Linked DNA regions of Rhinolophus ferrumequinum. The protein of the gene in region 1 interacts with the protein of each later gene in a biochemical or structural test. Links are inferred from orthologs where the notes say so. Each region holds a gene or a part of one and is shown on either strand. Other genes may lie near its edges.

Region 1 (11,899 bases):
CCGGTTCGATTCCCACATGGGCCAGTGGGCTCTCAACCAGAAGGTTGCCGGTTCAATTCCTTGACTCCGGCAAAAGATGATGGGTTCCACCCCCTGCAACTAAGATTGAATGCAGCACCTTGAGCTGAGCTGCCGCCAAACTCCCAGATGGCCCAATTGATTGGAGTGCGTCCTCTCAACCACAAGGTTGCCGGTTGGACTCCTGCAAGGGATGGTGGGCTGCACCCCCTGCAACTAGCAACGGCAACTAGACCTGGAGCTGAGCTGCGCCCTCCACAACTAAGACTGAAAGGACAACAACTTGACTTGGAAAAAAGTCCTGGAAGTACACACTGTTCCCCAATAAAGTCCTGTTCCCCTTCCCCAATAAAGAAAAAAATCTTTTAAAAAAGTGGTGGAGTGTGCAGAAAACTGATGTGAATAAATTCTGGGTGGAAAAAAATTGGTGCGAACACTTTGGAAAGTGGATTGGCAATAGTATCTATTGACACTGAAATACTCCTACCCCTCCTGCCCCAAAGACCCCCCCACCTCCTGGAATTCCTGCCCTTGTGTAATCACCTCCCCGTGAGTGTGGGCTAGAACTAGTAATTCCCTTTAATAAAATATGATAAAAGTGTTAGGGTGTCACTTCTGAGATCTGCCTTGAAGAAATGTTAAAAAAAGTTCTTCATAAAGAAGAAAAATGATATAGCTCACACACAAAAGAAAGGAAGAACATTTGAGAAGGAGTAAATGAAAGTATAAATAAAATAAAATCTTCCATTTTTTTCTTATTCTTAACTGATCTAACAAAAAACTGTTCAACAAAATAGTAACAACAATGTGTTGGATGATTGTAACTTATGCATATGTGAAATGAACGTCAGCAATGCTATAAGGGACAGGAGGAAAAAACTGGAAATATTCGTTTACAGAATACCTGCACTACCCATGAACTAGTATGTAGTGTCATTTGAAAGTGGGCTTGGATTAGCTGTAAATGTATATTGCAAACACTAGGGTAACCACTGAAAAATGTGAAAATGAGAGATATTATTGAAATTTTAAGAGAGGAGAGAAAATGAAATCATATAACATGCTCATTTAAAATCAGAGATGGCAGAAAAAGAGTGGAAGACAAAAAAAGAGAGGAACAAAGAATAAGAGCAATGAATAGGAAACAGTTACAAATATGGTGGATATTAATCCAACTATATCAATAATCACTTTAAATGTGAATGGTCTAACTACACCAATTAAAAGGCAGAGACTATCAGAAAGGATTTTTTTTTTAAAGACCCAACTAAAAGGCACAGATAAAAGTAAATCGATAGAGGAAAATATACATGCTAATATTAATAAAAAGAAAGCTGGAATAGCTATGTTAATTCCAGACAAAGCAGATTTCAGAACAAGGAAAATTATCAGGTATAAATAGGCCCATTACATAATGATGAAAGGGGTCAATTCTCCAAGAAGACATAATAATCCTTAATGTGTACCTACCTGACAACAGAGCATCAAAATATGTGGGGCAAAAAGTGGTAGAACTACAAGGAAAAATAGATAAATCCACTATTATAGGTGGGAGACTTCAACACCCCTTTGTTAGTAATTGACAGATCCAGCAGGCAGAAAATCAGTAAGAACATAGTTGAACTGAACAGGACCATCAATCACCTAGATATAACTGACATCTATAGACTACTGCATCCAGCAACAGCAGAAACACATTCTTCTCAAGCTCACATGGAACTTTCACCAAGATAGACCACACCCTGGGCCATAAAACACACCTTAACAAATTTAAAAGAATAAATATCATACCAAGTGTCCTCTCAGACCACGGTGGAATTAAACTAGAAATCAATAACAGGAAGATAGATGGGAAAATTTCAAAATATTTAGAGATTAAACAACACACTACTATATAACATATGGATTAAGACGTCTCAAGAGAAATTTTAAGTATTTTGAAATAAATGAAAGTGAAACTATAACTTACCAAAATTTGTGGGATGCAGCAAAAGAAGTGCTTAGAGGGAAATTTATAGCATTGAATGCCTATTAGAAAAGAAGACAGATCTAAAATCAATAATCTAAGCATCTATCTTTGGAAACTAGAAAAAGAAAAGCAATTTTAATCCAAAGTAAGCAGTAGAAAAGAAATAATAAAAGAGCAGAAATATATGAAATTGAAAACAGAACAATAGAGAATATTAAAGACACCAAAAACTGATTCTTTGAAAAATATTAGTAAGGTTGGTAAGTGTCTAGCCAGGCTGGCAAAGAAAAAAGAGGGCAGACAAAGTTACTAATATCAGAAATTAGAAAGGAGCCATCACTACCGATCCCATGGACATTAAAAGGATAATAAAGACATGAAACTCTATGCCTACAAATTTGATAACAGATGAAATGGACAAAATCCATGGCACGCTTTTAATAAATAGGATAAAGCAAAAGTGTTGGGATGTCACTTCTGTGCTTAAGTCATAAAAGGACTATGTCTTCCATCTTGGGTGCTCTCCGGCACACTCTCTCACCAGCTGCCATGTTGTGAGGAGACTCAGGAAGTCTATGGATAGACCTACATGGCAAGGAATCGAAGCCTGACAGCAACTACATGATTGAGTTTTTTTTTTAATTAGTTTCAGGTGTACAAAGCAACATACTAGTTAGACCTTTAAACTCCTCATAAAGAGATAACTCACCCCCCAAGCTACTACCCCTCTGACATCTTATATAGCTGTTACAATACCATCGACTTCCTTTTGCTGTATGCCACATCCTGTGACTATAAATATATCTATGTATTTAGTTATAGTTGACATCCCATATTATTCTACTTCAGCTTCAGGTGTATAGCGCATTGGATACAGTCTATGAAGTGATCCCCTTGATAAGTCCAGTGCCCTTCTGGCACCTCACATGATCTTTACAACATTGTTGATTATATTCCCCATGCTGTATTAACTACCAATTCACCTTTTTCACCCTGCCCCCAACCCCATTACAATCTATCACCCTGATAGATCTAGTACCTACCTGGACCACATCTAGTTATTACAATATTATTGACTGTATCCCTTATGCTATACCCTACATCCCCATGACTACGGTGTAACAACCAATTTGTACTTCCTTAATCTCTTCCCCTTTTACTCATCCTTAACACCCCCCTCCCTTCTTAAAGAAGTCCCTCTAAGATTCCTTGTAATACTGGTTTGGTGGTGATGAACTCCTTCAGCGTTTTCTTGTCTGGGAAGCTCCTTATCTGTCCTTCAATTCTAAATGACAGCCTTGCTGGATAGAGTAATCTTGGTTGTATGTTGTTGCTTTTCATCACTTGGAATGTTTCCTGCCACTCCCTTCTGGCCTGCAAAGTTCCTGTTGAGAAATCAGCTGACAGTCTTATGGGAGCTCCCTTGCAGGTAACTAACTGCCTTTCTCTTGCTGCTTTTAAGATTCTTGCTTTGTCTTTAACCTTTGGTATTTTAATTATGATGTGCCTTAGTGTGGGCCTCTTTGGGTTCATATTGTTTGGGACTTGCTGCGCTTCCTGGGCTTGTATGTCTTTTTCCTTTGCCAGGTTAGGAAAGCTTTCAGTCATTATTTCTTCAAACAGGTTTTCAAATTCCTTGCTTTCTCTCTTCTCCTTCTGGTACCCCTATAATGCGAATTCTGGTATGCTTGATATTGTCCCAGCGGCCCCTTAAACTCTCCTCTATTTTTTTGATTCTTTTTTCTTTTTGCTGTTCTGGTTGGGTGTTTTCTGCTACCTTATCTTCTACCATTGCTGGTTGGATCCTCTGCTTCATCTAACCTACTGTGGATTCCCTGTAATATAGTCTTTATTTCTGTTATTGTATCCTTTATTTCTGACTGGTTCTTTTTCATGGTTTCCATCTCCATTTTTATGCTTCCTATCTCTCTGTTGAAGTTCTCCCTGAGGTCACTGAGCATTCTTATGACCAGTGTTTTGAACTCTGCATCTGATAGATTGCTTGTCTCCATTTCCCTCAGTTCTTTTTCTGGACCTTTGTTCTGTTCTTTTATTTGGGACGTTTCTTTGTCTCCCCATTTTAGCTGCCTCCCTGTGTTTGTTTCTATGTATTAGGTAGGGCTGCACATGACTGAGCTTTGAAGTAGATCTTCTGAGGCCTGCCAACAGCCACGTAAGAGTTTGGATGTGGACATCCCACCCCAACTGAGGCTGCAAGTGAGACTGCAGCCCCAGATGACAGCTTGAGTGCAACCTCATGAGAGACTGCGAACCAGAGGTACCCAGCTAAGCCATTCATAGATTTCTGACTCACAGTAATTGTAATATAACGAATGTTTGTTGTTTTAAGCTGCTAAATTTGGGGGCAATTTGTGACGCAGCATAGATACTACTACATACCCTTTGACCCAGAAACTCCACTTCAACATGCATATGCTAGAGCAGTTTTTTTCCCAATCCTTTTCACATCAGAGCACACGTTAAAAATGCTAATTTTTGTACCAGGGGCAATAGACTCCAGGGCAGCAGCTGAGTGAAGCCAGGTCCATCTTCCCTGGAGGGTAAGGGAATCAATATATCAGAACTGCCCCAGAGAAACTCTTCCATATGGCCACAAGAGCCATGCGCTAGGATGTTCATTAAATCCTCACCTATAATTGCACACAACAGAAATTGCCCAAGTCTATCAGATAGGAAAGAGATAAATAAATTGGATAATCATGCAACAGAAGTCCCTACAATAATATATTATGGTAAAATCATATTGGAAAATTGATTCAATAGTATTCAGCAGTTAAAAATGAATTACCTAGATTTCAATGTAGGAAATTGCTAAATTTACAAAAAATAAGTGAAAATTTAAGCCACAAAAGGATATAGTTATTATGATACCATTTTGGGAAAAGAAGAAAGATGAATAGGATAAAGTGAGGGCTTCAACTGTAACATTTTGCTTCAAAACAGAAGGACCTGAAGATCTGAAGAAAAGACAATTTGCTCAATCTGTGTGACAGGTACTTGCAAATGTGCATGTTTGTACTCTACTTTTCTGCATGTTTGGCATATTTGAAATATTTTTTGATAAAAATGCATCCTTTCTTGAGTGCAAAAATACATATACATTGGATCAGGCTTATTAATTTTGTCATTCAATCGCTGTATATCCTGATTTATTAGTCTATTTGATCTATCTATACCATAACAAGTGTGCTTCAGTCTCCTGCTAGAATTGCAGACTTTCTGATCTCTCTTTGTATTTCTAACAATATTTGCCTCATATATTTTGAAATTACATTGTTTGGTATGTAAATTTGAACGACTATATCTTCTCGGTGAATGAAACAACCTATTTTGTTCTCTTTAAAGCTTTTTACTTTGAGTTATTAATTTTTCTGATCTTAACATTACTACAAGTCTCTTTCCTTCCTTCTTTCCTTCCTTCTTCCCTTCTTTTTCTTTCTGTTTAAAATTTCTTCCTTCTCCTCCCTCCCACCTTCCCTCCCTTCCTTCTCTTCTTCCTTCTTTCATTTCTGCCAGTATTTAACTGGCATGTATGTATTTTCCAGTCCTATTTTTGCTTTAGGTGAGATTCATAGAAAGAGTGTATAACTGGATTTCTAAAAACGAAATGCTCAAAATGAGAGTTTGATTTTTAATAGGCAATGTGAATCCATAGTACGTACTGATGTATTTGGATTTTTGCCTGCCTTTTGCTTTGCTTGGGTTTTTTCACATCCCTTCTGGTTGCCTCTCACCCCATTTCTGCCCTTTGTTAGATTGAGTTTTTCTCTTTGTTCTACATATTACTTCTTTAATGGTTTGAAAGTTATACATCTTATTTCTATTCTGTTGTTACCCCTAAAATTTTTTTGTTCTTCTATCACGCATTTTATTTCCAGTAAGAACAAAACTTCACTGTTGATGTGAACATAAGGAAGTCTCCATTGGTAGCAAATATTAGAGAAACTAATGTTTTTAAACTGCAGAGCAATTACCAGAATGTGAACCTGTGTTGTGCTTCATGATTGATCATTTCTTGTGGATAGACAAGCTTGATTTTGTGATTAACAGCAACAAATTCTACTGGAAACAGTTCAATCTGCTTGAACCACCAGGTTAAAAAAATTTAAGCTTACTGCAATCCTAAATACAGTCTCACATTTTTAATACTTCCAGTACAAACCATAACATATAACATAGGATATGATATATTAATATAATTACTTTCACATTGGAATTAATCAAAAAGAATTTGCAGATTTCGTTTTATTAAAAAAAAAAAATCCAGAACAGAAGGGAATATGGCTAAATGGTTAACATTTGTTAAAGCTGGCTGTTGGTTACATTTCTCGCTGTCCTTTTCTGTATCCTTGACGATTTCATCATTTAAAATGAAATAAAGCTTTAGGCCCACCCCGGTTTGTCTAGAGCAGCTGCCGCCCCCGCCACATCAAGGGGGCGGCTCCAGCTGACGCTACCGTCACTTCCGCCGCCGCAGTCGCCGCCCTCCCGCTGCTGTCTGGCGGAGGAGGAGCAGGACCCAGAGCAGTGGCTTTGACGGTCGTGGCGGTCGGAGGTCCGCGAGCTCTGCTCCTCCCGAGAGCGCGCGTGTGACGGGACCGGTGAGTGAAACGCTGTTGGTTTCCTCCATTCATCCAGACGTGGCGGTGGGGCGAATGGCCGGGTACCGGGGCGAGGATTTCGGGGAGGTCTAGCGAACAGATTTTCCGGCTCGCCCCTCGGGAAGGGGTGGGGCGGACGCGGGACCTGACTGCAGACGGAGGCCTGTGTCATCCATCGGCCTGTTTGGGGGCCCCATCCTCTGTCCCTCAGCCCCTTTCGTGTGGCGCAGCACCCCCGCAGTCGAATGGCTTTAATCACTGTTAGAGAAGGAGTGGTGGTCGTGGCAGTCTCCCACCTTTCCCTGCTTCTCCTCCCCCCACCCTGCCTCCCTTCTCGGCCCCTTTGCAGAGCACTCTGTGGCCTTTCTGCCCCCATTTTTCAGTTGGTTTGCTGAATGGTAAATTGTTAAAAATTTTAGGTAAATATATTGTTTCCAGGAAAATAATTGTTTTCAGAAAAACACATTATTCCCAGGGAAAAAGTATACCCCCACCGACCTTTTCTTTCTGTTTTCCCCTTGCACGTTGATTGGGATCTGCCATTTGAGCTGATAACGTTTTCCCCTCTCTCCTTATGACATTGTCGCCCTTCCCCCTCTCTGTCTGTCCCCCTCATCCTCCTGCTGTCTCCTCCCGGTGTCTCTCAGGCGTGCAAGCTGGGGACACACACCCACAAACGCACTCATGCAGGGACTACACACACACACACAAGCACGCACGCACACATACACACAGAAACCTTCCATTAGAGCCCCCCTCCTTGCCCCTATACTCAAGGTTCCTGTGCGTCCCCTCCCCCATACACGCATGGACACACATGCTCACACTGTCACAGCCTTCAGTGCCTTCTCTCTCTCTCTCTCTCTCTCTCTGTCTCTCTGCCGGCCATATACCCACTTAAGGATATCCTATCTCTGGCTCATCTCCCATATATCCCTTACATATAAATGCTCCCCCACACGTGTTTACACACCCGTCCCAAATGCTCCTGTCTGCTACGAGTGTGCAAAGACAGCTCTCCTTTGCTGGTCCCTGTGGTGCACACACTCACAGAAATCCTTCTCCAGGGACACCTTCCCCCCCCCGCCCCCCGCCGCTAGCCACATTCATGCATACAGACATTCTTTGATTGCTGGCCACCCGACCACCGGTCACACATACATCCCTGTCCAGTGCTGTCTGCCATCTACATATTTGCTCAAACTGACATTTCCCCATTGTTGCCTCCCGTTTTGACGAACACACACAAACTCATGGACACTCCTGTCCAATGCCACCATACGCTTCTTTACCTGCCACAGACACATAAACGCAGGCGTCCCTCCAGACTTCCAGCCACCACACATACAACCAAACACGAACATTCTCTTTCATATTTACACACGCCCCTCTCCTCTAAAGCCGCCCCATCCACACCTGTCATTTTATACCCACAGCGAGAATGGGTCTCATTCTGTGACACAACTCTTCCCAATGCCACCGTCATCTGCCCCTTCCCCCTGCAAACACAGGCATCTGTCCATTGCACGATTGCTATTTCCCCTTCCACCTGCTCTTCTCCTCCTGACAGACACATGGGCACTCAATGCATATACACCGATCTGTATTTCCCATTCTATTTCTATTTGCAATTGTCCTGTATGTCTGCAGGGCTCAGAAAAACGCAGACATCACATAAAAAAAATCCCTCAGTGGTCTTTCCTTTCTCCATGTTGGCACAATTTCATAGTATTTCACCCACGTTCCAAGCATCCAGTCACCCCTGCCTCACGCCATCTTCTGTCAGATTCTCCTGAAGTCTGGCTTTCCTATAAACCCAGTTTTGTTATCATTTTGCCAACATCAAAAATGTGTTCCAGGTATACACCTGCCAGTCACTGGAATGCTACCACAGGCCTTAGAAGAAAGTAAAACTAATTCCAAAGGCCCCGTATTCTTTTTGTTACCTGCTGACTTGGAGCTAAATCTCCCTGTTCCTTTCTTCTGAACTGATTGGATTTTCCCATCTCCAGAGTGTGTGTGGGGCACAGGGGCCTTTCCACTTGAGCCTAGCTGTATTGCAAACCACCCCGAGGCAGAGCAGTGGGTCAGGAATCTAGCAAGCCTTTAGGGCCCAAGGCAGCAGGAGGGTATCAGGCCCACACAGGCAGGAGGTATGGAAGAAGGCATGCTTATGTCAGTTTCAGGCCATCCACGAGCCAGCAGGAAAGGATTTCCAGCCAGAGAAAGACGACATCTGAAGTCCCAATGCACAGACCAGCCCCCAGTCAGACCGCCAAGAGGAGCCGATTGCCACTGTCCAGTGTTCGTCGTCGCTGGGATGACAGTGAGAACTTGGGAAGCGGCCTGAATGTAGATAATGAGGACTACTCCAGGTACCCGCCAAGAGAGTATAGGCTTCTGGGTAGCAGAAGAGGAATGGCTTATGGACCTATTGACTCTTTGCGGGAAGATGAGAGCGAGGAGGAGGGGGCTGGGCCTGTGGCACTAGCGCCAGTACCAGTACGAGGGAAAACTGGCAAGTTTAAAGATGATGCAGAGAAAGGGGCAAGGTCTTTGGTTGGGATGCCCCCGCACTTGCCTGGTTTTAACCATGATGTGAGGGGCCAGTTTAGCAAGCTAGACCCAGCCCCCTCTGCCAGAGCTGGGTTCCTGCAGCAGAAGAGCATGGCTTCTCAGACCTCTGTTGTGGGCCGCAAGGTGGCCGCAAAAGGCGACAGCCTGGAGAGGGAGAGACGTGAGCAGAATTTTCCTGTGCGTCTCAGCAGGGCTCCTGTGAGTCTTTGTGGTGGTGGGGAAAACACCCCAAAGGGTGGAGAGGAACCCGTGGTGAGGCCCAAAATCAGAAATCTGGCCAGTCCCAGCTGCGCGAAACCAAAAATATTTTTTGATACTGATGACGATGACGATATGCCACACAGTACCTCCAGGTGGAGGGGTACTGCCAGCACTGATGAAGGCCCCTCAGATAGCCTGGCAAGAAGAGGCAGAGGTGAGAGTTCAAGTGGCCACTCTGAGCCGAAGTACCCCGAGGACAAGAGGGAGGCCAGGAACGAGCAAGTGAAGCCAGAAAAGCTGCCGAGACGGCGACGCACCATGGCCGACCCTGACTTCTGGACGTACAGCGACGATTACTACAAATACTGCGATGAAGAGTCAGACAGTGACAAAGAGTGGACTGCTGCTTTGCGGCGGAAGTATCGGGGTCGGGAGCACAACCTGTCGTCCAGCGGTGAAAGCTGGGACACCCTGCCAGGGAAAGAAGAGCATGAACCTGAGCCAGGCCTCGTGAATGGCGCTGCCGGCGCCAGCCCCTGCAGCAGTGGCAGCAAAGAACTTGAAGTCCGAGGACCATCTCTTCGGGAGGCGGAGCAGGCATCCCCGGAAGGAGGAGAAGCCCCTTGGCTGCAATACACTGAAAATGAGAGTGGCAGTGAGGGCGAGAATGATTCGGGCCAGGAGTTTCTGCAGCCTGGCGTCTTCATGCTGGACGGCAACAATAACCTTGAAGACGACTCCAGCGTGAGTGAAGACCTAGAGGTGGATTGGAGCCTCTTCGATGGGTTTGCAGATGGGTTGGGGGTGGCTGAAGCCATTTCTTACGTGGATCCGCAGTTCCTGACATACATGGCACTCGAAGAACGCCTGGCCCAAGCAATGGAAACTGCCCTCGCACACTTGGAGTCCCTCGCTGTAGATGTGGAGGTTGCCAACCCACCAGCGAGCAAGGAGAGCATCAACACTCTTCCCGAGATCCTGGTCACTGAAGACCACAGCGCAGTGGGCCAAGAAATGTGCTGCCCCATCTGTTGCAGTGAATATGTGAAGGGGGAGGTGGCGACAGAGCTGCCATGCCACCACTATTTCCACAAGCCCTGTGTGTCTATCTGGCTCCAGAAGTCTGGCACCTGCCCTGTGTGCCGCTGCATGTTCCCTCCCCCACTCTAAGACCAAGGCTCTTTACTCCTGGTCTGCTGATTTTCCCCATCCCAAATCCACAACACTGCAGGAGCCCTCAGAATTAACAAGTGAAATGAAACCAATGATTAATCTACACCTGTTGATTTCTTGTGATCATTTCCAATGTGAAAAGAGTTGTGTATGATTGCAGTAAAAGTCATACTGTCTTTTAGAGGTTAGAAAGGACAAACTAAACTTTCTAAATGCTACTTGACATTGCAGTAAGAACATACCTTTTCTAACCTGAACATTGAAATCAGTTGCATTCGTTTTCTTCAGTAGAATATGTTGCTGTTAACTGTAACGTCAAGTTCATCTGTTAAATAAGTCCAAAAGGCATCACCAGTTCTGTTGCATGTTATGGGTTAATGTTCCTGTAATTGCAGTGCCGTAAAAGCTTATTAAAATTCTTTTGGTATTTCATGGTATAGTGGAATTGTCTGGTTTTGTCTAAGACGGAGGTACTAAGTGCCTTTGTGATGGATCCCTTGCATTTGCATCAAAAATAGGGTTTTTTTGGTGCTCCCAATAGTAGGAAAACTTTCGTTTCACTGAAAATGCTGACTCTGACAGCAGCAAAAAGTTAAGGGTAATGATACTAAAAGTAGGAATAAAGTGTATGATTATCAAACTACTACGGGGCAAAGGCCAAAGAGAGAATACTCTTGTCAGTCTACGGGAAGCAAAGAAAGAACAAGAAAGCACGGTAAAAATGAAGAACACTGGTAGGAGTAAATGCGCACTGAGTGTAGGGGTGAAGGAGTTAAAATCCCCTTTCAGAAAACAGAAACTCCCAGAGGGAATGGGTAAAAAAATAAAGCTGTGTGTGGATTGTATACCTTAACTCAGTGATGCAAGAGGAACAGAAAAATATATGGCAGACAAATGCTGCGGAAAATATATAAGTACCCACCTACATAGAGCGAACAGACCTTAACATTTGGCCATATTGGCTTCAGATCTCTCTCTCTCCAATAAAGAGAGTGTTTTAGGCACAAACGAAGTTTGTCACCCATCATACTTACCTTCCTCCACAGAAGTAAGAACTACCCAGGAAATGGTGGTTTTACTTCTCGTCTACGTTTTTAGACATATATGTGTGTGTGTGTATACGTGTATATATATATATGTATATATGTGTGTAGCTAACCAATAGAGTTTCTGTTTTCTAAGTGGATGTAATTGATTGTATGTATGTTGTACTTGGATTTTTTTCACTCAACATTATTTTTGAGATTTAGCCATTTTGATACATGTTGATGTATTTCATGCATTTTGGCTGCTGTATACTAAATAGTAAGTTGTGTGAATTACCACAATTTCTTTATCC
Region 2 (10,782 bases), on another chromosome or scaffold:
CCACATGATTCAACTTATATGTGGAATCTAAGAAACAAAATAAATGAACAAATTAAATAGAAACAAACTCCCAGATACAAAGAACAAATTGGTGGTTGCCAATGGGAGGGGTTTGGGGGGTAGGTGAAAGAGATTAAAAAGTACAGATTGGCAGGTACAAAATACTCACAGGGATGTAAAGAACAGCACAGGAAATATAGTCAATAATAACACAGTAACAATGGTGTCAGGTGGGTTCTAGATTTATCAAGGTGATCACTTCATAAGGTATATAAATGTCTAACCACTATGTTATACACTTGAAACTAATATTGTATTCAACAGTAATTGAAAAATAAATTTAAAACAAAGACTATTCTAGGGCCAGAGCTATTGATGCAGCCCTGAAAGCCTACCTGTGTCAGACGTCTGTGCTGCAGGAAGCCAGGAGGTAGCAGGGACAGCTGGAGCCCCCATTTCCTGAGATGTTTTGCTACTGTTGAGGATTCATTCCTGCAGAGTAGTTTTAAGTGGAGACCTCTGTTTGTCCTAGAAGTCACAGAGTTGTTGTCACTTAAAGAAAAATTGTCACATTAGGAAACTCGTTGTTTTACCAGCAGATGCTGTAGGAAACTCAGGAAGCTCCAGCATACCAACACCTAAGAAATGAGGAAATAGGCATTTCTTTGTTACTTTCAGGATGGGTTCTTTTCTTTCCATGTCCGTGAGACTTTCGAGTACTTTTGAGGACTTTTTCGTATATCAATACTGAAGAGTTTGCCTAACTCAACCCAGTCTTGCTTCAGGGGACCAGGCTGAGACCTGACCAGTGAAGGGCTTTTGTCAGGATGCAGAGCAGACTGGTGTCAGAGGAAGGATGAAACTGTTCTGTCAGCCGTGCAGCATAAAGATGTTCGTTCATCACCTAAAATACAAACAAACATAGTCTGGGATAGTGATGGAAATCATTATTTTAACCGCTGGCCCTACTCCATTTTAGTTTAACTTTTCAATGAAAAATTCTTTTTGTGTTATTGTTGGTGCAGAAAGTCTGGGCGCCCTAAGTGCATGCATTTGATGGTTCTCGTTCCTGGTTTATTCATCTTCTTTTCTGTCTCATGTCGTTAGACTTCAGAAGGAGCAACTTATTAATGAGATTCCTCACCTTGGCCTTCGTCAAGTTCTTCTTTTTAAAACAGGTTCACTGAGAAAGTTCACCTGTGTCAAGTACGTGATTCAGTGTTTTTTAGCATGCTTAGTTATGCAACCATCATCTTCACCTAATTTTATGACATGTTCAGTCACCCCAAGAGTAGTGATTCCCCCATTCCCCGCCTCCCCCAGTTCTAGGCAACCATTAATCAATCTACTTTTCGCCTCTGTGGATTTGCCTATTCTAGACATTTCGTGGAAGTTGCATTATACAATATACGCTGTTTGGTGAGTGGCTGTATTCATTTAGCATGTTTTTGAAGTGCATCCACATGATGGCCTGTGTTTGTCCTTCATTCTTTTTTAAAGCTGAAAAATACTCTGTGGTATTGGCATACATTTTCTCCATTCATCAGTAAGCAGACATTGGGGTCATTTCTACCTTTTCGCTACTGTGAACAGTTCTATCTGCCTAGTCCCTCGCAGGGTTAAATTAGCCCCGTCCATTCTCCTTTTCGGTGCGCTTGCCCTGTGGTTATCTATACCTCTGCTCAGGGCCAAAGTGGAGTCCAGGAGGAAAGAATGAGGTGTCTGTCATCGTGCATGGTGTGGCCACTGGAGAAATGCTTTGGGTTAAGCATGGAGAAAAGAGCTACTCTGGCATAGCAGGTGCTTCAGCGTGTGTTCTACGTTCTCTGAAACGCCTTTCTACATGGTAAATCACCAGGTTAGCTCATGTGTACATTCTATAAGGAGAAACAATCTTTCATGGTTTCTTACTTGCACTTATTGCTGGCAACTAAAATCATAAGCATGTTCCCCAACCACAGAACACTGCCAAGAACCCTAACTAAACTGTCAAATTTTATTCAGATCACCTCTCATTACATTCAGATATCTTTGCAGGTAATATTAACCGTGTCTATTGCCGTGACTTTGAAACAAACTCTTGTTCCTTAGTACCCTCTTTTCCTCTGTGTAATGGGTTTGGATGCCACTTAGCCAGAATTGGTTCAGTTTCAAGTGAGGGGAACCAACTTGAAGCAGATAAAGCAAAAGCAGATTTTACTTACTCCAGTAATTAGTCATCCCAGGAGTTCAGCCTTGCACTTGGGATCCAGGACTTCAGTTAGCACCATTCGGACTGTTTCTCCATCGCTTAGATCTCCTTTGAGTTGCCTTCACCATGTTGCAGATTATTCCCAAGCAAGGCAGAGATAGCTAGGCTTACATCCCCCTTCAGCTTGTTAGCTCAGAGAGAGCTCATATGAACCCCTAAAAGGAGTCTGACTGGACTCCCAATCCAGTCACTGTGGCCCGCCTGAATCACATGCACCCAGAAAATGAAGGCAGAGCTTTTTCCAGGGTCTCCTAGAAATGGGAAGAAGCAATTACCAAAGGGTAAAGATGCAGAACAGGGGCAAAAACAGCCAACGAAAAGAAATTATTGGCCACTATTGAGACCTCATGTGTTTGTAATTTTATAACTTAATAGACCTTCATGATTTTCGTAAGTAAAAGGCCGTGGGTCATCGGAAGATTTATATTTCTTGAAAAGAGAGTTGCTGCATTGCTTTTCCTACTGTCTACCCGCCGAAATAGCCCCTACCCCCACCCAACCCCTTTGCTCACATGCTGCACACGGCCCCCCTTTTCTTCCACTAGAAGAGGCAGCAGAGCCACTCGCACATGCTGGCTGCCTACTTTGATCATTGCTTTTATTCCCCCAACGTCCTTACTTACTTTTTTGTACTAGGTCACTGCCAGGAAATGTAAAACCTTCCTCTGATTCTGCAAGAAATACCAAGGAACCAAGAGAATGCAGTAGATAATAAGGATGATTAGAGCTTCTTGGCAGGCATTTGCTACCAAGGAGACGAAATAAAGCCATTAATTAGTGACGTCTAAACAGCAGTTGGTAGTAGGCATTTCTTTTTTCAATGCAACTAAATCTTAGCTAGCTAATTTTTTGCCTCAAATAATTTTTGTTTTCTTTTGGGTCTAGTAATAAAAGTACTAAAGTCATTAACATAAAGTGTTTGAAAATGTTTTTCTTTTTTTAACCACTTGTCTTTAGTACTTCACTGGCTAAACAAAAAGTCACAAATGTCCCATGCAAATTACACTGAATTTACTGGAAATTTGAATGTGTAAAACTGTTATGGCCTGGTGTCCCTGAGATGTTAAAATTGATTGAAAGTATATTTTCACTGATCTCCCAAAGCAAGAAAATAAACATTGCATTTCATTTTTAAAAGAAAATACTTTTAATAGCACTGTGATATATTTTTTCAGACTTTCGTCTGATTTTCGTGCACACGTGGTTCGCTGCAGTAAACATCTTTCTTCACACAGCGTTATGTAGTCCTCAAATATTTTCCTTAATATAAACGCCCTGGAAAGAAGCAAATCATTATCAATCTTATTTTGTTGATTTGGAAACTGAAAGGAGTGTCAGTAGCTTTCCCAGGGTCATACAGGTATCTAACTTAGGGCAGGCCGACTCCCAGACTTTTTACTTTTTCAAGGACACCACATCATGTTCCCTTTGCATTGTGTGGTTAAGGGCAGTCTCTGGAGGCAGAACGCCTTAGTTCAGGTTCAAATCTAGCACTTTCTTGCTGTAGGACCTCAAAAGAGTTAATATTCTTCTCTGTGCTTCAGTTTCTTCATTTGTAAGAAGAAAAACATAATAAATGGGGCCTCATGGGGTTGTTGTGGGGATTAAATGAAGTACTAGGTGCAGATCACTTAGAATAGGGTCTGACCTACAGTTACCTTTGTAATAATCATCAGCTGCTGTTGTTTATATTTATTATTATTAGTGTTAGTGTTGTTATTGCCATCACCATGACAACAATTTTCCCTCAAACACTATGTCAATCTAAGGTGGAGTGGGGGTCTGGGCTCCTTCTCCATGCAGTATATAAGCTTCATTCTAATATTATCATGTGATATTTTCTCACTTGTATTCTTCTGGACACAGTGTAGAGAGGTGTTTTAAGACTTTAAACTGGTATCTTTTCTCACCCATTTTGAGTTTGACAATCTGCTATCTGACTAAAGATTCCACTGATGGACACAGCTGATTTTCACAGTCACTGGGGTAGCTTGACTAGCGGGGCTACTTGGTAATTTAAGTGAACACTTTTGCGAGAAAAAAAAAAAAAAAAAAAAACACTGAAAAACCAGCCCAGTTGTTGACGATGGCTTTCATCTTATTTTCCATTTCTCTGTTATCTCATGGTTGCTGATTTTTTACTCAGGGCACAATTGGAGGAACCTTTTGCAGAATTCTCCGCTGCAGTAGTTTTTCTTTGATCCTCAGTCCAAATTTTAATTTGCAAGAAAACTGAAGCAGATGGATTTTCTCATTGTAAAAAAAAAATGAATGCCTCGATGATATATTTGTTTTTCATAGTAGTCTTCTGTCATTAAGATTGATGCTTGAGAATATATTGTTAGATCCTGTATGGAACAGAAAGTTATTACTCATAGTTTACCAGATTTTAGCGAGCATACTTGCATCATAACATGGAATATCATTTTACATTTAGTGCAGCTCCAGTGTCATTATCAGATTGCATTTTCATATTGAATTACTAACAAAAATTTTATGCTAACACTTAATGAAATTTTTAATAAGATTGTGTTTTGATGCTATTATTCAAATAATGTGTTTTGAATTGCTTTCCTTTGAATATATTTGCATTAAAGAGAAACTCAATTTGATTTGGTTCTTTGAAGAGGTTACCCACTTTCTGGGTAGTTTAAAAAGACAGAGGGAAATTGTTAATTCTTTGCAAGTCAGTAAATAGAAAAGGAACACAATTACTACGATCTGTAGAAGTAATGGCAGCAGACACAGATAGTTTGAGTTAATGAAATGACTCATGTTGGCTATTATAGTTGCACAATTAAAAAAATATATATATACACAAAGCACACATCACAGATTATGAGGGATGATACCCCTGGGTTCTCTTCTCTTTCTCATCGAGCCCTAAGGCAGATATTTTAAGAATTGAGAAATTTAAGAGATTCACATTATTGCAATTCTTGATCAGTGATGCCCAAAATTAAATGGTAATCTCTTGAGAGAACACGTTTCTCTGTTTGTAGCATCCTTTTTTTCCATTTCTGCTAAAACTGTGGTTGTGAGCCCAAGGCAGTTCACGTGATCACGTGCGTTCCAGAAGATAAACTCATTTGACCAAGCAAAACCACTGTATGTGGTGGCTTGGTCATAGTTGTCTAGCTGATGGAGTATAATGCAAAAATATAAACACTGAAATCGTGAAAAGATGGGGGGAGTCCTGCTTGCGAGGCAAGCCTGCTTTACCAAACATTCGTTTTTAATAGACTCTCAGGGGCATTCGTGAAAGTAATGGTGGTAAATGGTGAGGAGGGTTTAAACTTGTGCGAGGGGAGTGGCGAAGGCAAAACAATCTAGGCGTCTTCTGGGTCTTTTCTTTTTACGTCCAGCTGTGTGTAAAAGGAAATGCTTTTTCTTCACTTGCACGCTCTTCGCTTTCTCTTCACCTTATGTTTCTCCCCCATTCCTTGACTTCGCTCCATCTAAAACTATTCCCGACTTGAAAACACTTCCCTGAGCCTGTGCGGGCGCGAACGTAGCCGCACTCCTCTTGAGGAGTCTGGGCTCCGGTTCCCTGTCTGCGCGGCTGGGAACGGACGACACTTTTAAGCACCGACTAATAAAAGCACTGCGGTGACCCCGCGGGGCTGCGCAGAAAGCCGCGGCGGCCAAGAGACTCCGCGCACGCAACACGTCGCCTCCGTGACGCGCCGCGCAGGCCCCGCCGACGCAGCGCGCAGTCTCGACGCGGCGCGCGCTCCCTCTGGCCCCGCCCCGGCGTGTCGCGCGCCCCTCCCCCCCATCCTCGCCGCGCGCCGCTTTCCCTCAGCTGCCGCTGCTGCCGGTTACCGCCCGCCGGAGTCCGCGCGGTCGCCCAGCCGTCACCGCCGGCGACATGTTGCAGAAGCCGAGACACCGGGGCCGCCTTGGCGGCCAGGCCGAGAGGGAGAAGGACTGGGGCCGCGGCGGAGACAGCCGGGCCGCGAGAGGCGGCGTCGCCGAGGAGGCCCCGAGCACCTCCCGCGGGGTGGGCAGCTCGCCTCAGCGCGCCCGCCGGGCCGAGGCGTCCCCGGCCGTGGGGCCCAGGTCCCAGAAGCAGCTGGAGCTGAAGGTGGCCGAGCTGGTGCAGTTCTTGCTGATCAAAGACCAGAAGAAGATCCCGATCAAGCGCAGCGACATGCTGAAGCACGTGATCGGCGACTACAGGGACATCTTCGCCGACCTCCTGAGGCTGGCCGCCGAGCGCCTGCAGTACGTGTTCGGGTACAAGCTGGTGGAGCTGGAGCCCAAGAGCAACAGCTACATTCTCATCAACAGCCTGGAGCCGGTGGAGGAGGACGCGGAGCTGAGGGGCGACCAGGGCACGCCCACCACCGGCCTCCTCATGATCGTCCTGGGGCTCATCTTCATGAAGGGCAACAGCATCAAGGAGACCGAGGTCTGGGACTTCCTGCGGCGCCTGGGGGTGTTCCCCACCAAGAAGCATTTAATCTTCGGGGACCCAAAGAAACTCATAACCGAAGACTTCGTGCGGCAGCGTTACCTGGAGTACCGGCGGATTCCCCACACGGATCCGGTCGACTACGAATTCCAGTGGGGCCCGCGCACCAACCTGGAAACCAGCAAGATGAAGGTCCTCAAGTTCGTGGCCAAAGTCCACAAGCAGGACCCCAAGGACTGGCCCGCGCAGTACTGTGAGGCTTTGGCGGAGGAGGAGGCCCGGGCCCGGCCTCAGACGGCGGGCCCAGCCCCGTCCCTCGAAACCGCGGCGGGGAGAAGGGTCAAAAGCACCGGTTGAAGAGGTGGGGGTGGCGGGAGCACTTTTCTGTGAGGCTTAAATGTGTGTAGCTGTAGGATGTGTTTGCAGAGTTGTGTTCTGTTAGTACTACAAGGTACGTGGTTCCAAAGTGTCGTTGACAAAACCATTCGGGAGAGGATTTATTTGGCGTGTTTTACTGTCTGTATATGTGGGTATAAAAATTTGGCTAGCTTTGTAAAACTAATGGGAAAACGTTTGTGCTGTGATCTGGAACAGAGATTGAAGGAAGAACACATCAGTAAATTGCTTTGGCGCCCAGAAAATAAAAAGGAAGTGGCTGTTAACCTGGCCTCTTAACTACCCCAGTTTGTAAGGAAAAAGAAAAGCCTTTGCAAATTAAAAATAAAAATGTGACTGCCTGTATCCCTTTTTGCCTTAACACAGCTATTTTATATTTATATATTTCCTACATATGTAAGCATTGTTCCAAGCAATGTAAATGTTTTTTACTTTCATAACTACCACTTAGGTCGGTTTGGTTTTCCTTGTTTTTGCTACTATAGTTATAATAAATACTATATCTTTGAAGCAGTTATGCATTGTGCATTTTTTAAATTGTGAATCATGAGAAATTAATTTCATGACTTAAAACCAGCATCTTAAAGGCAGTTTTTGCTACATGTTAAGTGTTTTGTAGAAGTTGCTTTACTTTTTATATGTGTTCCTGCAGATTGGATCATGATGTACAATATATTTCTTACTGTGGGTCACAAAAAAGTTGATGAAACCATTAGTGATTAACCAGCCTACTTGAGAATCAGACTACCTGGATTTAGTCCTGGCTGCACCTACCGTGTTTTGCCAAAAATAAGACCTCACGGGACAATCAGGTCTAATGCATCTTTTGGAGCAAAAATTAATATAAGACCCAGTATTATATAAGACCCTGTCTTGTATTATAGTAAAATAAGACCGGGTCTTATATTAATTTTTGCTCCTAAAGACACATTAGAGCTGATTGTCCCGCTAGGTCTTATTTCCTGGGAAACAAGGGTAACTAGCCATATAAATTTGGGCAGGTTACTTAACTTGCTTAGGGATGTTTCCTCACCTAGAATATGGGCTTATGGTACCTCTATGATTGTGTGTGTGTGTGTGTGTGTGTGTAATGGTGTGATAGATATGGAAGTGTATGTAAAGTTCTTGGCACAGTGCTTGGTGTGGCCAATTTTAGTAATTCCTTAAATTTTTTTTTTTTAATTTGTTTATGATTCTTGGACTGGAACAGTTAAAAAATTTTTTAAGGTCTTTTTTCATTATTTTCCAAATCATTTCTAGAATTGGAATTACTGGTTCAAAAGTTATGACACTATTCTTCTAGTCTGACTCTTGGTTTTCTGGAGAAACATCACATGGTAGATATGTGGTGAGGAGAGCCCACATAAAATAGCTTAAGAGCAGGAAAGTTAGACTGGAGCTTTGAGGGTCACTGGTATAGTGAAAAGGGTGTGGGTTTTGCGGTTGACAAATTTGAATTATGGCCCATGCTATTTCAGCATGGGGATTTGGGGTAGCTTTTAAGCTCTCTGACTCTCAATTTCCTTATCTGTAAAATGGGGAAAATAACATAATAATAGTTTGTTACGTGCATTAAATGAGTGAAGAAAAGAGCTCATGGTCTCATAGTGTTCCCCCAGAGCTTCTGGCAAAATGTTGTTGGTACACAGAGTCAACAAATAAGTATTCAGTGGAGGAGGAAGTAGTCGTTTGGGGGAAGGTACTGCACATCCACCATGAAAGGCGATACTTTAGCTCAAAAAAAAAAGTAGATTTGATCACCACTCAACAGAGAAATGTCATCTGGAAGAGTGGTGGGTGGGTATATGGTATGCGCTGAAATGGAGAGCGCAGTCGGTTCCTTATTGGGCTTTATTTCTTCCTGTTGAACCGGAATTTGCATTTATTTCATCAATGGAGTATAGTTGGTCCTTGAAGATTTTTTTCGTTTGCATTTTATTTTAGTGTATAAATTACCTTCACTAAAGCATCCTGCTTACTGGTCCCCTTAATCTCACTGACTGCCTTCCCCTCTCGTGTGTTCTAATACTGACATTTTCATCTTTATGGTGAAATTATCATTACCCAACACCCGTTGTTCCTTACATCTCAGGCAAATACCCTCTCCCACACTTTTCTCATAGAGAAGTTAATTTACCATCAATGAATTCTCCGTAATCCTAATATTTGTAAAGATATTTCCTAGTATTTTAAGTTTTTAAAACTTTGACTTTCATGTTTATGTTTTTAATCTGTTTTTGTGTATGATGTGAAATATGGATATAATTTTCACGTTTTTCCTATATGGATCGCATAGCACCAGTTTTTTTATAGTTCATTCTTTCCACACTGATTTATAATATACTCTTTATTATATAGCTGTTTCTCATATGTAAGCAAATTTATGGCTCGAAGTGACTTGGTTTATTTGCTGTCCATTTGCCAATATCATGCTATAATTCTATAGCATCATAATATGTTTTGTTTTGTTTTTCCAATTCTTTTGTGTTTTTTTTTTCTTTTTGTGAGCAGTGTTGATAAGCTTGAGCGGTGGTTCACCAGGTGGAAAGGGGAACAAAAGGGATTCAGCCATAAATAGAGTATGTGCAAAGGCCCTGAGGCATAAATAAGCACGCTGGTCCCTACAAAGCCAAATCATCTTATAAGACATGGTGATTAGCAGCATTAGATGGAACCAGAAAGCTTATAGTGGGCCAGGCTATCATGGGCCTGACACTCCACGTGGTTTGGACTCGCCTGTAGGTCAATGTTTCAAATTTCACCTAATTTCAGCCATTCAAGTACAGTTGACCCTTCAACAACAGTGGTTTGAACTCTGTGGGTCTACTTATACGTGGATTTTTTTCAGTGAATACCTGTACTGTTTTCGATCAAAGGTTGGGAGTCTGCAGACATGGAGGGCCGACTGTATGCGTTCCTCTGCCATTTTATATGGGGGACTTGAGCATCTGTGGATATTGGTATCCTTAGGGGTCCTAGAACCAATCCCCCCAACCTACCCCCAGCTACCAAGGGACAAGGGTTGATGTAAGAATGTCCAAACCTGAAGAGAATTCTTACAAAAAATTCATTTGAGCCAGGCAGAGGATATGCTTGGAAGCAAGCTCTCCACAAACTGAGAAAAACACTTCCTCTTCCAATTCTTACATCTTTGGCATTGGCTAGAACTGCAATGCATTATGGAAAAGAAATGGCAACCTCAAGGATGTTTCTGATTTTAAAGGGAATAATTTTTAATGTTTCACATCAAGTGTGTTTGCTGTTAGCTTCCCCCCCCCCATAAATATCTTGAATTGGGTTGTTTCCCTCCTGTCCCCTTCCTCCTCCTCCCTTCCTTTCCCTTCCTTTCCAAACAGTGCAAGGAATTTTTTTTTCCCCTGAACTACTTGAGTGCATTTAGTTACCATGTTTCTTTAGTCTCCTTCAGTCTGCAAACCTAGAGTCCTTCCTTTTCATGATCTTGTCACTTGAGTGCAGGCTTGTAGAACCTCCCTCAGTTGGGGTTTGTCTGCTGTTGCCTTGTGACGAGATTTGAGTTATGCCTTTTTGACAGGAGTATCTGTGTTTTTCTTTCTGGATCCTTGAAAGTTTTAATTTGCCCCGTTATTTTGTAACTGATTATTTTGGTTAAGGTGGTTTCCTACCATCCCACTCCACTGTGAAATTTTCCATTTTTCTTTGTAATAAACAAATAACTTGTATGAAGAGATACTTTGAG

Evidence for each region.
Region 2: the proteins of PJA1 (region 1) and NSMCE3 form a complex in vitro, tested with the Homo sapiens proteins (2 studies listed by BioGRID). The link is inferred for Rhinolophus ferrumequinum from reciprocal best matches to the Homo sapiens genes PJA1 and NSMCE3.

Annotation. Positions count from the first base shown.
Region 1 is NC_046284.1:3,154,188-3,166,086, forward strand, and holds PJA1 (E3 ubiquitin-protein ligase Praja-1), read left to right. Parts: upstream 1-6,479; 5' UTR 6,480-6,609; intron 6,610-8,789; 5' UTR 8,790-8,856; coding exon 8,857-10,557; 3' UTR 10,558-10,992; downstream 10,993-11,899. UniProt on the Homo sapiens protein: Has E2-dependent E3 ubiquitin-protein ligase activity. Ubiquitinates MAGED1 antigen leading to its subsequent degradation by proteasome. May be involved in protein sorting.
Region 2 is NC_046311.1:13,569,550-13,580,331, forward strand, and holds NSMCE3 (non-structural maintenance of chromosomes element 3 homolog), read left to right. Parts: upstream 1-6,042; 5' UTR 6,043-6,122; coding exon 6,123-7,025; 3' UTR 7,026-7,577; downstream 7,578-10,782. UniProt on the Homo sapiens protein: Component of the SMC5-SMC6 complex, a complex involved in repair of DNA double-strand breaks by homologous recombination. The complex may promote sister chromatid homologous recombination by recruiting the SMC1-SMC3 cohesin complex to double-strand breaks.